Regions from separate parts of the Mus musculus genome. Here regions 1, 2 and 3 are each reported to be linked to region 4. The links are microRNA targets in miRTarBase. Many come from high-throughput screens and were not tested one by one. Region 4 holds a microRNA gene; each other region holds the end of a gene's coding sequence.
The links. The annotated mature microRNA mmu-miR-466f-3p reads CAUACACACACACAUACACAC and lies in region 4 at 1,351-1,371, opposite strand. An mRNA with a match to its seed (bases 2 to 7 or 8) in the 3' UTR can be bound and repressed. Matches are read on the target gene's strand: a 7mer-m8 pairs with bases 2 to 8, a 7mer-A1 pairs with bases 2 to 7 and ends in A, and an 8mer does both.

Region 1: miRTarBase lists Lrrc19 as a target of mmu-miR-466f-3p. Seed matches in the 3' UTR shown: 7mer-m8 at 1,674-1,680.
Region 2: the mRNA of Gja5 is a reported target of mmu-miR-466f-3p. Seed matches in the 3' UTR shown: 7mer-m8 at 1,564-1,570.
Region 3: miRTarBase lists Gabarapl2 as a target of mmu-miR-466f-3p. The part of its 3' UTR that is shown has no 7-base or 8-base seed match.

The regions. Positions count from the first base shown.
Region 1 is chr4:94,635,457-94,638,668 of GRCm38, forward strand. Lrrc19 (leucine rich repeat containing 19) reads right to left here. Exons shown (of 5, transcript NM_175305.5): 5 at 265-3,096. The coding sequence ends at 2,768. Ift74 (intraflagellar transport 74) reads left to right here. Exons shown (of 20, transcript NM_026319.3): 8 at 318-379. Among named protein-coding and RNA genes, the nearest start is that of Lrrc19, 13 kb to the right of the region's middle.
Region 2 is chr3:97,051,162-97,054,373 of GRCm38, forward strand. Gja5 (gap junction protein, alpha 5) reads left to right here. Exons shown (of 2, transcript NM_008121.3): 2 at 1-2,473. The coding sequence ends at 544. 4930573H18Rik (RIKEN cDNA 4930573H18 gene) reads right to left here. Exons shown (of 4, transcript NR_152120.1): 3 at 2,633-2,682. Among named protein-coding and RNA genes, the nearest start is that of Gja5, 20 kb to the left of the region's middle.
Region 3 is chr8:111,951,928-111,955,139 of GRCm38, forward strand. Gabarapl2 (gamma-aminobutyric acid (GABA) A receptor-associated protein-like 2) reads left to right here. Exons shown (of 4, transcript NM_026693.5): 4 at 388-988. The coding sequence ends at 478. Among named protein-coding and RNA genes, the nearest start is that of Gabarapl2, 13 kb to the left of the region's middle.
Region 4 is chr2:10,467,100-10,470,099 of GRCm38, reverse strand. It overlaps Mir466f-2 (microRNA 466f-2), which reads right to left and starts at 1,425; the gene lies at 1,332-1,425. All of the region lies in intron 10 of Sfmbt2 (Scm-like with four mbt domains 2), which reads right to left. It overlaps Mir669f (microRNA 669f), which reads right to left and starts at 2,871; the gene lies at 2,751-2,871. It overlaps Mir669e (microRNA 669e), which reads right to left and starts at 2,605; the gene lies at 2,487-2,605. It also overlaps Mir669b, Mir669d and Mir669l.

The DNA.
Region 1 (3,212 bases), not on the chromosome of region 4:
AAGTATTTAGTGAACATACAGTATATTTCTGAAATGTTGTTTACATAAATTAAGTTTAAATTTAATTATTGGATAGATGACTAAAGAAAAATGAAGTATTTTGGTATGAGCTTATTATGTTAATATAAGGACTAATTTATTTATCTGGTAGTGTTTTTTGTTAGAGGAAGTTGTATTTTTTTCTAACTTCTGCATGTGGCATTATTGTAATTATAATAATCCCATTTAAATCATAATCTTTAGAGTAATTGCTACATAGAGTTTGGTGCTTACCCTTTATTTTTAATGAATAATGTCTGTGTTAACTGTTTACACAGCTTAAAGCTCAAAATGACAGAGAAACACAAAGTATGGATGTCATATTTACTGAAAGACAAGCGTAAGTACATATGCATAAATGAATTTTGGTATGTGACTTAACTTGTGAGTCATTTATTTCCTTATACAATTTTAACTTTTTCTCTTATTTTGATTTTGTTAATTGTTGGATTAAACTTTTATTTGTTTTTATTTCATGTGCACTGACATTCTTCCTGCGTATATGTCTTGCAAGGGCATTGGAGCACCTGAAACTGGAGCCACAGAGAGCTGTGAGCTGCCATGTGGGTGCTGAGAACCGAATCTGGGGCCTCTGGAAGAGTATTCAGTGCTCCCAACCACTGAGCCATCTCTCCAGCCCTTAATTGTTGGATTCTTATGAGTTGATATCGTACTCAAACCCAGAAGTTTGTCAGTATCTCTGACTCTGTCTCCCAAGTGCTGGGATTACTAACAAGAACCACAACTGGCATCTTACTGAAACCTTACATTTAAAGTACATATTTGTAATAGAAAATGTATCATCATTTCTTAATTTACCATAACATCTTAATATTAAATTTATCTAAATGTCAAATATATGCTGTTTTATTTACTCCCAAGGAGCTAAATTCTATACAAAGGGAAGGTCTACCCAGTTTATAAGAAGATTTCTGCTTCTAAAGACTTAAACTCTAAGACGAATTATGTCTTTATATCTAGCACTTAGAATTTTAACCTAGGCTTTTAAGTAGATTGAACTATGATCGTTTAGTTCCACTTCAGTGAAAGAAGTTATCAATCAGTAGGCTTTGTACATTGTCCTTGATGAGCATTATTTGAAAATTATGAAAAGATCTTCATTATTAGTCTTTTTTTGTAAGAAGGTATCATGTACATTCTTTTGAATATCTTTATTAAAGAGAAATTGGAATGTCAGAGCATTGTATGCTCGTGTATCATGTACCAAGGTCTGTTGTCACATTTCTACCTGTGTTCCATCTTCAACTCTTTTCCTTCTCATGTATACAAAGAAAATCACAGAAAATGTGTTACACTACTTCATCCATAAATGTTCAGTGTTTTACAGATGCAAGTAAATACACTTAGTTTTTCCATGTATACAATGGTAAAATACATATTTTGCTGGTTTTTAATTTCATTCTTTAAACTGTTAAGTTGTTAAAATAATATTTGCGGCTTAGCTATTATAAGAGAATTGGCAAACATTTCACTTTAGATAGACCCTTCCTATGTTAGGGCTATTTTTTCAGAATGTGTCTTTTAATCTATTAATATGTTGTGAGCTATTAGCTATTCTTCCAAGAAAGGGTTTGTTTATCAAATAAATTTTAATGTTTCTGTGTGTGTATGGAATACACATACAGAGAGAGAGAGAGAGAGAGAGAGAGAGAGAGGAGAGGAGAGAGAGAGAAATGAACCCAGGGACCTGAACATGCTATATAGATGCCCTTCAAAAACTTAGTACTGTACTCTTGAGTTATCAGAGAACACCTGAACTTAGTAAAATCTATAAGTACTAAAGGAAAAAAATCTTTAACTATGTTTAGATTTAGATTCCTTCAGTAATTTGACCAGTTGCCTTTTTCTTCCTCTATAAATGGTTGTCAGTGTCATTATAGAAAATCAGTGTTCTACAAATCAATTTGGGAAACATTGCTCTGTTTATTGAAACAGAGATAGATGTGTGTGGATTACTTAAATATTCTCAGTTCTAGCTCACAATAATTTTAAAAATAATCTCCCAAAAGAAATAGAGAAACGTTTAGTCTTTTAAAGAAAATTCATAATTGTTATGATGCCCATTTTAGGAGCCATTGTAATATCAATCATGGCAGTTGTATATGGAATTCTTCCTAACAACCACTGTCAAATGCAGTAGTGGTTAGTAGGGATTATTCCAAATCACTACATCTGTGCTTTAAAGTGCTACAAATTTTTGAGGAAATTTTGTTTTTAAGTTTAGGCAGCATATTCTTTAATTCTGTGAATTCATTTGTGAACATAAGATCACTTTATATAGTTAAAGCTGCCTGTTCCTCACTTTGATAATATAAGCCTAAAATTTGTATTTCTTTATTGATTACAATTTTAGTATAATTTAAGACATCACAGCATGTGTATTTTTTAATATAAGAATCTGCTCATTTTAGTTGATAAATAATTGTCCTTAGGCCTTGTTTTTAGCAGTCTGTAGTTTCCCGAACACTGCTGACACTAGTAAATGCTGGTAGTATAGATAAATCATTAAACTTACAGCTAACCAGTGTATGAGTAATTGCATTTAGACTTCCTTGTGACATATAGAAAAAAGTAATAACTGTGATATTAACATAAGGTACTAATTAATATGAAGGTTTGCTGTTTATAGTTTTGTTTGCCAAATAAAAATCTCTGTCTAAGCTGTAAATAGTCTGAAAGTATTTTTCAGAATTTAAACACGATAAAATTACTTTTCTTCATGTACCTCATTGATATCTATGTATCTGTCTTCAATAAACCCATCATCATCTACCACAAATGCATGCAACTGTTCAAATATCACTGTGGTGTCTTCAGAGTTCGTATCTGTTATTTGTGAAAGAGAACTTGGGTTTCTTGTAAGACCATTTTCATAGGTTTCTGCCTCATGCTCTTCCAGGCGATGGTGGTTGTAACTCAGCAGAATATTGTACCATACTGGGCACTTGATAGCAATGAAGATAAGCAGTGAAGTTAGCAGTACAGTGGCAACAACACCAACCAGGAAAGCCCAGCTTTTCCCAAGAGGCTCATGCTCTTAAATAGAAGAGAGAAATTTTGTTAAGTTGACAGAAGTCAAGCAGAATTGGAAAGGAACATACTTTACAGTTTTCTGTGAATAAAATTACTAATACACTAAAGACAAGTGTGGA
Region 2 (3,212 bases), not on the chromosome of region 4:
CCTGGATACCCTGCATGTCTGCCGCAGGAGTCCCTGTCCCCACCCAGTCAACTGTTATGTTTCGAGGCCCACGGAGAAGAATGTCTTCATTGTCTTTATGATGGCTGTGGCTGGACTGTCTCTGTTTCTCAGCCTGGCTGAACTCTACCACCTGGGCTGGAAGAAGATCCGACAGCGCTTTGGCAAGTCACGGCAGGGTGTGGACAAGCACCAGCTGCCTGGCCCTCCCACCAGCCTCGTCCAGAGCCTCACTCCTCCCCCTGACTTCAATCAGTGCCTAAAGAACAGCTCCGGAGAGAAATTCTTCAGCGACTTCAGTAATAACATGGGCTCCCGGAAGAATCCAGACGCTCTGGCCACTGGGGAAGTGCCAAACCAGGAGCAGATTCCAGGGGAAGGCTTCATCCACATGCACTATAGCCAGAAGCCAGAGTACGCCAGTGGAGCCTCTGCGGGCCACCGCCTTCCTCAGGGCTACCATAGTGACAAACGGCGCCTTAGTAAGGCCAGCAGCAAAGCAAGGTCAGATGACCTGTCAGTGTGATCCTCCTTTTAGGGAGGGCCAGGCCCAGGAGGGATCTAAGGAGTGTGAGGCAGGAAAGAAACAGTCTCTCTCGTGATGGTATACTCTCCTCAGCACTACTTTGCTCTGTCTGTCCTGGGTCTGGGTGGCATTCATTGGCATTCATTGCTCGTTATCCTCAAAATTACAGTTCTGAGTCTTCTCAATGACTGGGCTACTCCTCAAGTCTCATTCCCTCCTACTCATCTACCAGTATTCACAGTGAAGCCATAGTGGAGGCAGGATCAGGAACCGTGGCAAAATCTGGTCTGGGGAGGACAGGTTCAACACCAGCAACATACCAGATAGACCCCCCACCCACCCCAAGTCTTCTCTTTGGTACTATGCCCATCCTCTTGTTTTGTTTTGTTTTGTTTTTTCTTAAGAGCCCAAGGTTGAGAGTATTCATCAAGTAATCTGCCCTGTATCATTCCTTTGAATCAGTTGTTTCCATGTGCCATACCTCGGAGTGCTGGTGAGGTAACTGTGGGCTGCCCTTGGCTGCATCTCCTTCCTCCCAGTCTTAAAGGGGTATCCTTGGTCCTTGGCCAGCATCAGATTTACAAGTGCCTTGGTATGTACCTTTGGCAAATGTTTCATGTTGATGATGTCTCAGCCTTACTGCCAGGCTAGACACCCAGCTCGTAAGGGTGCCAAGACCTCCAGAAGTCACTGTGCACACAAGCATCGCTGGAATTGCCACCAGCTGTCATCCTGCGGTCCTTTATAGTTTAACCTAATGACAGAAACCATCCTGGCCGGCTCACCCACCGTTCCTCTAAAATCTTTGTTAACAGGAATGTCCAAAGTCACCATCCTCTCTTGGATCCTGGCCAGATTACCAGCCACCAAGTTCAGTGGAATTTCCCCAGGATTTACTGAAACAAAGAGAGCATTGTGCTTCTCGGGTTCTTCTGGGTCTGGGGATGGGGGTGGAGGGGGAAATTCTGCTGTGAAGATGAAAAGGTGGGGGGAGGACACTGAAAAACTATTTTCCCTTCTGTGTATGCCTTCCACTGTCTGCCAGCTTTTAATGCCGAGAGGTGTGGTGATAGCAATTGAGGCCCAAGATCTCTCTTAGAGGCATCAAGGAGACATGGAAGCAGAAAGGGTCCAGTTGGTTTGGACCCTTATTTAGTGCAGATATTCCTATGTTTTCTTGGTACCCCTAGGTACAACAGGGGAGGACTGTAGAAAATCCCTGCCTTCCTCAGGGTCTATCCTGGGGTATCTACTGAGTGGATCCATCTTATGCAGATGGAAGAAGCTCAGCACCAGATACCGAGATTTACAAACACAATACTGTGTGTGTGTGTGTGTGTGTGTGTGTGTGTGTGTGTTTGTGTGTGCATGCCCATCCATCTCTGTGTGCCTCTGTGTGTGTGTGCTCGTGTGTGCATGCAGATAGAATGGTGAAGAAGAGCCCTGAAGAACGATAAGGAAACATGTAGAGAAACTTGGGTCTTTCTGCTTCCTTCTCAGTTGTCTGGCAGGAGGGCTGAGCTTGCTTCTTAATCAGCCTAAAGATCAGGCATGAGAAGTTCAGGAGGGTGAAGGGTCAGAGGTCAGTCCCTGTCCCAGTGACCCATCTCTGGGTCCCTCTGCTGGCATTTGGTTGCTACTAATGGATAGAAAGAAATTGACTGAGGATACCTGGGAAAGGAAGACGGGCTGTTCCAGTCCCAGTGCATTTCATCCATTCCCGACACTGGCACTAAGACTCTCTGTTCTGGCTATGGAGTGTGTGTTTGTTTTCTGAAATGGGATTTTTTTGAATTAGAAAATCTGAGACCAGTCGTTGATGGTGAGGTTTTTTTTGTTTTCTGTTTTTTTTTTTTTTTTTTTTTCAGAAGAGAAAGAGGAAATACTATGTTTGACTGGTTTTAAATAAAATCTATCTCTACATGCCAACTCTGGTTTGTGTCTCCTTCAGGCTGTGGCTTAAGAGGGTGGCAGACTTGATGGGGGAAGGGAGAGCATGGAGTCAGACACACAAGGGTTAAAATCCCTGCTGCTGGCCTCCTCCTGGCCAGCAGTGAGCTACTTCACATCTGAAGTTTTGTTACTCACCTGTCAATCCATCTAGGGATGCCTGCTCCGTTAGGCTGTGAGGTGAGAGGCTGCATAGGAAGAGAAGAACAGATTCTCTCAGGCAGGCATAAGAGTTTACAGTTGAGGAACAATTATTATTATTTTCAATATAAAGTGATGGGGAACCCAAAGCATTAAGGGATAATTCTAGGCCTTCCTCTTTTGGAGTTCACAGCATGATCTACCTGAAGTGAACAAATGAACTCATAAAGGACACAATTAAGGTGCACCCAGGAGATGGCTCAGTAAACAAGAGCAGTTGATACGCAAGCCTGAGGACTTGAGTTCAAATCCCCAGCACCTGCATATAAAGCTAGGCATGGCCATTATTAGCATGTAAACCTAGCACTGTGTGTGTGTGTTGGGGGACAGAGGGGATTGGGGGTGGGGCGAGACAAGGATGCTGAGCCTAGCTCTGAATTTAGAAGACAGAGGGTGATAGGGCAGGATACCTTATGTTCTCTTTATGTTTTCCTGTGTTTATGTATGTATATCCTGCACCATATACCACACATATCAACCACACAGTCACATATACATACACACACACTGCATAGTC
Region 3 (3,212 bases), not on the chromosome of region 4:
GAGAACCCAACATGTTCCCTGTGACAGTGGGATGATCCTTTCCATCTCCAAGGAGTTGGCTTCCTTACAGGTTTCAACATGAGTGCAGGGATTCTAGGCATGTGCTGGGCCTGCATCCTAATTTGTTGTGATCTCTGCCCTCTTTTTGTGGGCCCTGTGCCTGCTAGGTTAATGTTGTCAGTGAGCCACCGCCACCCCTCAGCCCATCTTCAGTTTTCCTTGCCTCTGTTTTCTTTCCGTAGAGCAGATTGCAGGTCACAGCAGGTACCGGAATTATTTTTACCTCCTAGCCACCAACCACAAAGCGTCCGATCCTTAGGCCTCATTTTTCCTCTTGATACCAGGACTCAATTCTCACTCATTTTTTTTTTTTTTTTCTCTTTCAAGCCTAACTATGGGACAGCTTTACGAGAAGGAAAAAGATGAAGATGGATTCTTGTATGTGGCCTACAGCGGAGAGAACACTTTTGGCTTCTGAGGCCCTTGCTGGGCTAGGTGCGCCCTTCCTGCTTGTGTCTCTTGTAAATAACTGGCTGTTCTCAGTTACTCTGCCAGAGCCTCCACACAGACCTACTAGTGCATTTGTAACTGGATTTATTTCTTAATATATTGGAAGGTTTTGTTTCCTTAGATTAGTAAATTATCATACAGAGTTTTATTTTCAGTTTTCTTTTTGTGCACTGTCCTCATGGCTATTTGCTCCAGGGAACCTGTCCTCTGGGAATCATATTTAATGAAGATATTTCCGTAATGAAGGGAGGTAGGTGTGGTGGTAAAGGGAAAAGGAGGGGCTGATGCATAGTTCTGGATTATGTTGAAAGTGTTAGATGGCTAAGTATTAAAAGCACCCAGATTAAATCCTTAGCAATCAGAACACTTGCTTCACTAGATTTTGCCAACTGCAAATCATGTTGGACTGAGCTAATCTATTCTTCTTTCTGAGACTATTAAGGTAAATAATTAACAATAAAGCCTCCTTATAAAGGCATCACGGTGTGACCATGTCCGTCATTCACCTCCACGAGTCAGGAGTGGCTCCTGCCTGTCAGGCTTGGAGAAGGGCTTGCAGGGGAGAGAGAGGCCTAGCCTAGGATGGGAAGTGCTGGTTGATATCAAAAGGGGATTGGTTTTTCAGTGGTCAATACAGTCAACAGGTTCAGATTTCAGGACTGTAAAAAGGTGTATACTGCAAAGTCTCGCTTTTACCACTTTTTCTGATCTCTGCTGCTTATGGAAAATTGTATGGGTTTCTTCTCAGTATTTGAGTAGCAAAATTTTAAGTATGAATATACTTTTTAAAAATTATTTATTGGTGTTTTGCCTGCACGTGTGTCTGTGTGGGTGCGGTCTGGATTTGGAGCTAGACAGTTGTGAACTGCTATGTGGGTGCTGGGAATTGAACCCAGGTCCTGTGGAAAAGCAGCCAGTACTAGTAATTGAAGAGCTATCTCTCTAGCTCCATGTATACATTTTTTTGTTTACATATGTAAGGCATGTGTGTATGTTAGTAAAGCAGAGGGGGTTGAAGAGATGGCTCAGCAGTTAAGGGCAATGGGTCCTGAGCTTAATTCCCAGCAACCACATGGTGGCTCACAACCGTATATAATGTGATCTGATGCCCTTTCCCTGTGTGCAGGTGTATATGCAGATAGGGCATTCATACAGATAAAAATAAATCTTTCTTTAAAAAAATAAAACATGTACTTACACACTGGATTTTGTTTTGAGACAGGGTTTCACTGTATAGTTCAGGCTGGGCTCCAACTTGTTATCTGCCTTGGTTTGGCTTTCATTAAGTCTTTACTTACATTCTAGCCTGATATACACACGTCCTTTATATGTGCTGTGTTCTTTTGAGACAGGGTCTCTCTATGTAGTCCTAGCTGTCCTAGAGCTTGTAATGAATCAGGCTGGCCTTGAACTCAGATCCTCCCGAGTGCTGGAGTCAAAGGTAGGCACCACCATGCCTGGTACAAACCCTTGTTCTTTAAGGTTCTCGCCAGTCCCTTTAATCTCTCATGACAATAGATGCTTGTTAGGACACAAAAGCATCTTCAAGAAAGTGGCTTTACATCTTCCACAGATGGACTGTGTTTGGTGACTGGTGACTGTAGCCTTACATCAGTCATCAGGATAAGGAAACCAATAGAACCCAGTGAGGGATCTAAGTAAGGGCCTGTAGGGAAAATGAGAATCATAAACTTAATTTTTAAAAGATTTACTTATTTATTAAATGTATATGAGTACATTGTAGTTGTCTTCAGACACCAGAAGAGGGCATTAGATCCCATTACAGATGGTTGTGAGTCACCATGTGGTTGCTGGGAATTGAACTCAGGACCTCTGAAGAGCAGCCAGTGCCCTTAACCACTGAGCCATCTCTCTAGGCCAAGAATGATGAACTTAAGGAATTTGTCTTATTTGATGTGTATGGCTGTTTTGTCTGCATGTATGTCTGTGCACCACTTGTATGCCTGGGGTATCAGATTCCTTAGAACTAACTGGAGTTACAAATGGTTGTGATTTGCCGTGTGGGTCCTCTGGAGACCATGCTCTTAGCCGCTAAGTTATCTCTCCAGCTCCTGCTCTTGGTTTTTTGATGTCTCATTTGTAGCCCCAGCTGGCCTGGGGCTGAAGGGATCACTTGCCTCTCTGCCTCTTGAGTGTCACCAATACCTGTCAAGACCTTTAATTTCACTGTTACCAGGATATATTATTAGCAGGCTAACACAGCTCTCTGATATCTTTCAACTGGAATTGGAAGAAACATTCTTATCACAAAGATCTTGTAGGGTTGTTTTTTTTTTTCCCTAACTTGACTCAAGAAAGAAAGATGTATGTTTGTCTTTGCTGGTAGTGTGAAGCTAGAAGCAAGTAGACCCTTCTCTCGGGTGACCAATGGGAAAGGGAAACTCAGGCCCTTGTTATGGGGCTTCTTGTTTGTGGTCACATGCACCTGTTTTCAAAACAAAATCCCCAAACATTGATTGGATGTACCAAATGAAGACTCAGATGCTGTGGTGAAAGCCACAAGGCTCAGAGAGGCAGAGCACACCCGGCTGAGCCTCCTCCTCCACCAACATCCCAGAAGATGAAAAGCTCCTCCAGGCTGTCTGTCAGCTCCCAGCCCCTCCTTTCTCCTTCCTGGGTTTTCTTATGTTCACTCCTGCCAACTGGCTGCTTCCTCTGCCTCTTTACTTTGTTTAGTTCTT
Region 4 (3,000 bases):
GAATCAAAACTTTCAGTGGCCAAGTACTACATAATCTCTAAAGCTCTAAGTCACAAATAATTCCAATGGATCGATGAGTGCCATTCATATGTGGGTGTCACATGTATGTGTATGTATGAGTTTATGTATATGTATATTAATATACACACATACATCACGGGATCATCACAAAAATCTCAGGCTCCTCTCTAACTCATCGTGAAGTTAAGGATAAAATTGAACTCTTTTATTATTAGGTATTTTCTTCATTTACATTTCCAGTGTTATCCCAAAAGTCCCCCATACCCTTCCCCCCCCAACTCCCCTACCCACCCACTCCCACTTCTTGGACCTGGCGTTCCCCTGTACTGAGGCATATAAAGTTTGCACGACCAATGGGCCTCTCTTTCCACTGATGGCCGACTAGGCCATCTTCTGATACATATGCAGCTAGAGATACAAGCTCCGGGGCGTACTGGTTAGTTCATATTGTTGTTCCACCTATAGGGTTGCAGATCCCCTCAGCTCCTTGGGTACTTTCTCTAGCTCCTCCAATGTGGGCTCTGTGATCCATCCAATAGCTGACTGTGAGCATCCACTTCTGCGTTTGCCAGGCCCTGGGCCTACTGACTCTGGTAAACATTATCACCTGCTGACTGAGACCCCTCTCAGGCCAAGTACTGCATAACCTCCAAAACTTGAGGTGACATATCATTCAAATGAATCACTGAGTGCCATTCATGTCTGTGTGTCTTTGTGTGCCTGTATATGATTGTATGTATGGATATGTATATTCATATACAAACAGGCAAATGCACACAAAACTATACACCCATGCACATACACGGGGTACATCCCAGGAATACCAGGCTGATCTCTAACTCATTATGAAGTTAAGCATGAATTTGAACTCCAGATCTTTCTGACTATACCAATCGTTTATATCTGGTGAGTAAAAAGTTTCATTGGCCCAGTACTACATAATTTCTAAAGCTCTAAATCACATATCAATAAAATAAATCGATGAATACCATTCCTGCGTGTGTGTTGATGTGTTCATATGAATGCGTGTATATATGGGTGTGTATGTATATGTATATTCATATACACACATATACATGCACACACAACTATACGCACATGCACAAACATGGGGGGCAAAACATGATTCACAGTTTGATCTCTAAATCCTCATGAATGTAAGCATGAATTTGAACTCCTGATTCTCCTGATTCTGGCAAGCATTTTCAACTAGAAAGTGAGAGCACTCACTGGCCCAGTACTACATAATCTCTATAGTTCTACGTCACATATCATTCAAATGGATAAATGAGTGCCATTCGTGTGTGTGTGTGTGTGTGTGTTACATGAGTGTGTATGTGTGTGTGTATGTATACATATATTCATATACACACATGCACATGCACACACACGTAAACACACATTCACATACATGGGTGGCATCACATGAATGCCAGGATGATCTCTAACTGAAGTTAATCATGAATTTGAACTCCTGATCCTCCTGACTCTGTCAACCATTTTCACCTGGTGAGTGAGACCGTTCATTGACACACTACTGCATAATCTATAAGACTCTAAGTCACATATCATTCAAATGGATCGATGAGTGCCATTCCTGTGTATATGTATTTGTGTGTGTGCATGCATGCGTGTGTATATGGGTGTGTATGTATATGTATATTCATATACACACATATACATGCACACACAAGTATACACACATATAGAGCAAGCAACACACAAATCCCGGGCTGATCTCTAACTCATCATGAAATTAAGCATAAATTTTTACTGCTGTTCTTCCTTACTCTGCAAGCATTTTCACCTGGTGAGAGAGAGAGAGCTCTTTTGGGCAAAGGAATACTCAATCTCTAACCTCTAGGTTGCATATCATTCACATGGATTGGTAAGTGGCAATTGTGGGTGTGTTTGTGTGTGTGTGCATGTTTGTGTGGGTATGTATGTATATGTATATTCATATATACATACATTTTCATGCACACATAAATATACACACATGCACATACATAGGGGTCATCACATTAACACAAGGCTGATCTCTAACTCATCATGAAGTTATTATGAATTTGAACTCCTGATTCTCCTGACTGTGAGAAATGTTTTTGCCTGGTGAGTGAGATGTCTCACTGGCCCAGTAAATTTACATATTATACAAATGGATCGATGAAAGCCATTTCTGTGTCTGTATCTGCGCATGCGTGTATATGTTTGTGTGTATGTATATGTACATTAATAGACACACATGCACATGCACACAAAACTATATACACATGCACATACATTCATGGGGGACATCCCATGAATTCTAGGCTGATGTCTAACTCATCATGAAATTAAGCATGAATTTCATCTCCTAATCCTCCTGAGTATGGCAAACATTGTTACCTGGTGAGTGAGATCTCTCCCTGGCACTGTCCTGCCTAAACTCTCAAGCTCTAAGACACATATCATTCAAATGGATGTGTGTGTGTGTGCATGAGTGTGTAAGTGTGTGTATATTCATATTCATATACACAAATGAACATGCACACACAAGACACACACCTGCCCATATATAGGGTACAGCCCATGAATCCCAGGCTGATCTTTAACTCATTATGAAGTTAAGCATGATTTTGAACTCTGGATACTGATGCTCTGGCAAGCCTTCCCTGGTGAATGAAAAGTTTCAGTGGCCCAATACTACATAATCTCTAAAGCTCTAAGTCACATATCATTCAAATGGATCAACGAGTGCCATTCCTCTGTGTGTGTTTGTGCTTGCGTTTATACGTGTGTGTGTATGTATATGTATATTCATATACACACATGCACATGCACACACAACTATACACACAGGCACATACATGGGGGGCATCACATGAATCACAGACTAATCTCTAAATTCTCAGGAAGTTGAGCATGAATTTGAATTCCTGATTCTCCTGATTCTGGCAAGCATTTTCACCTTCTGAGTGAGACCATTCACTGGCCCAG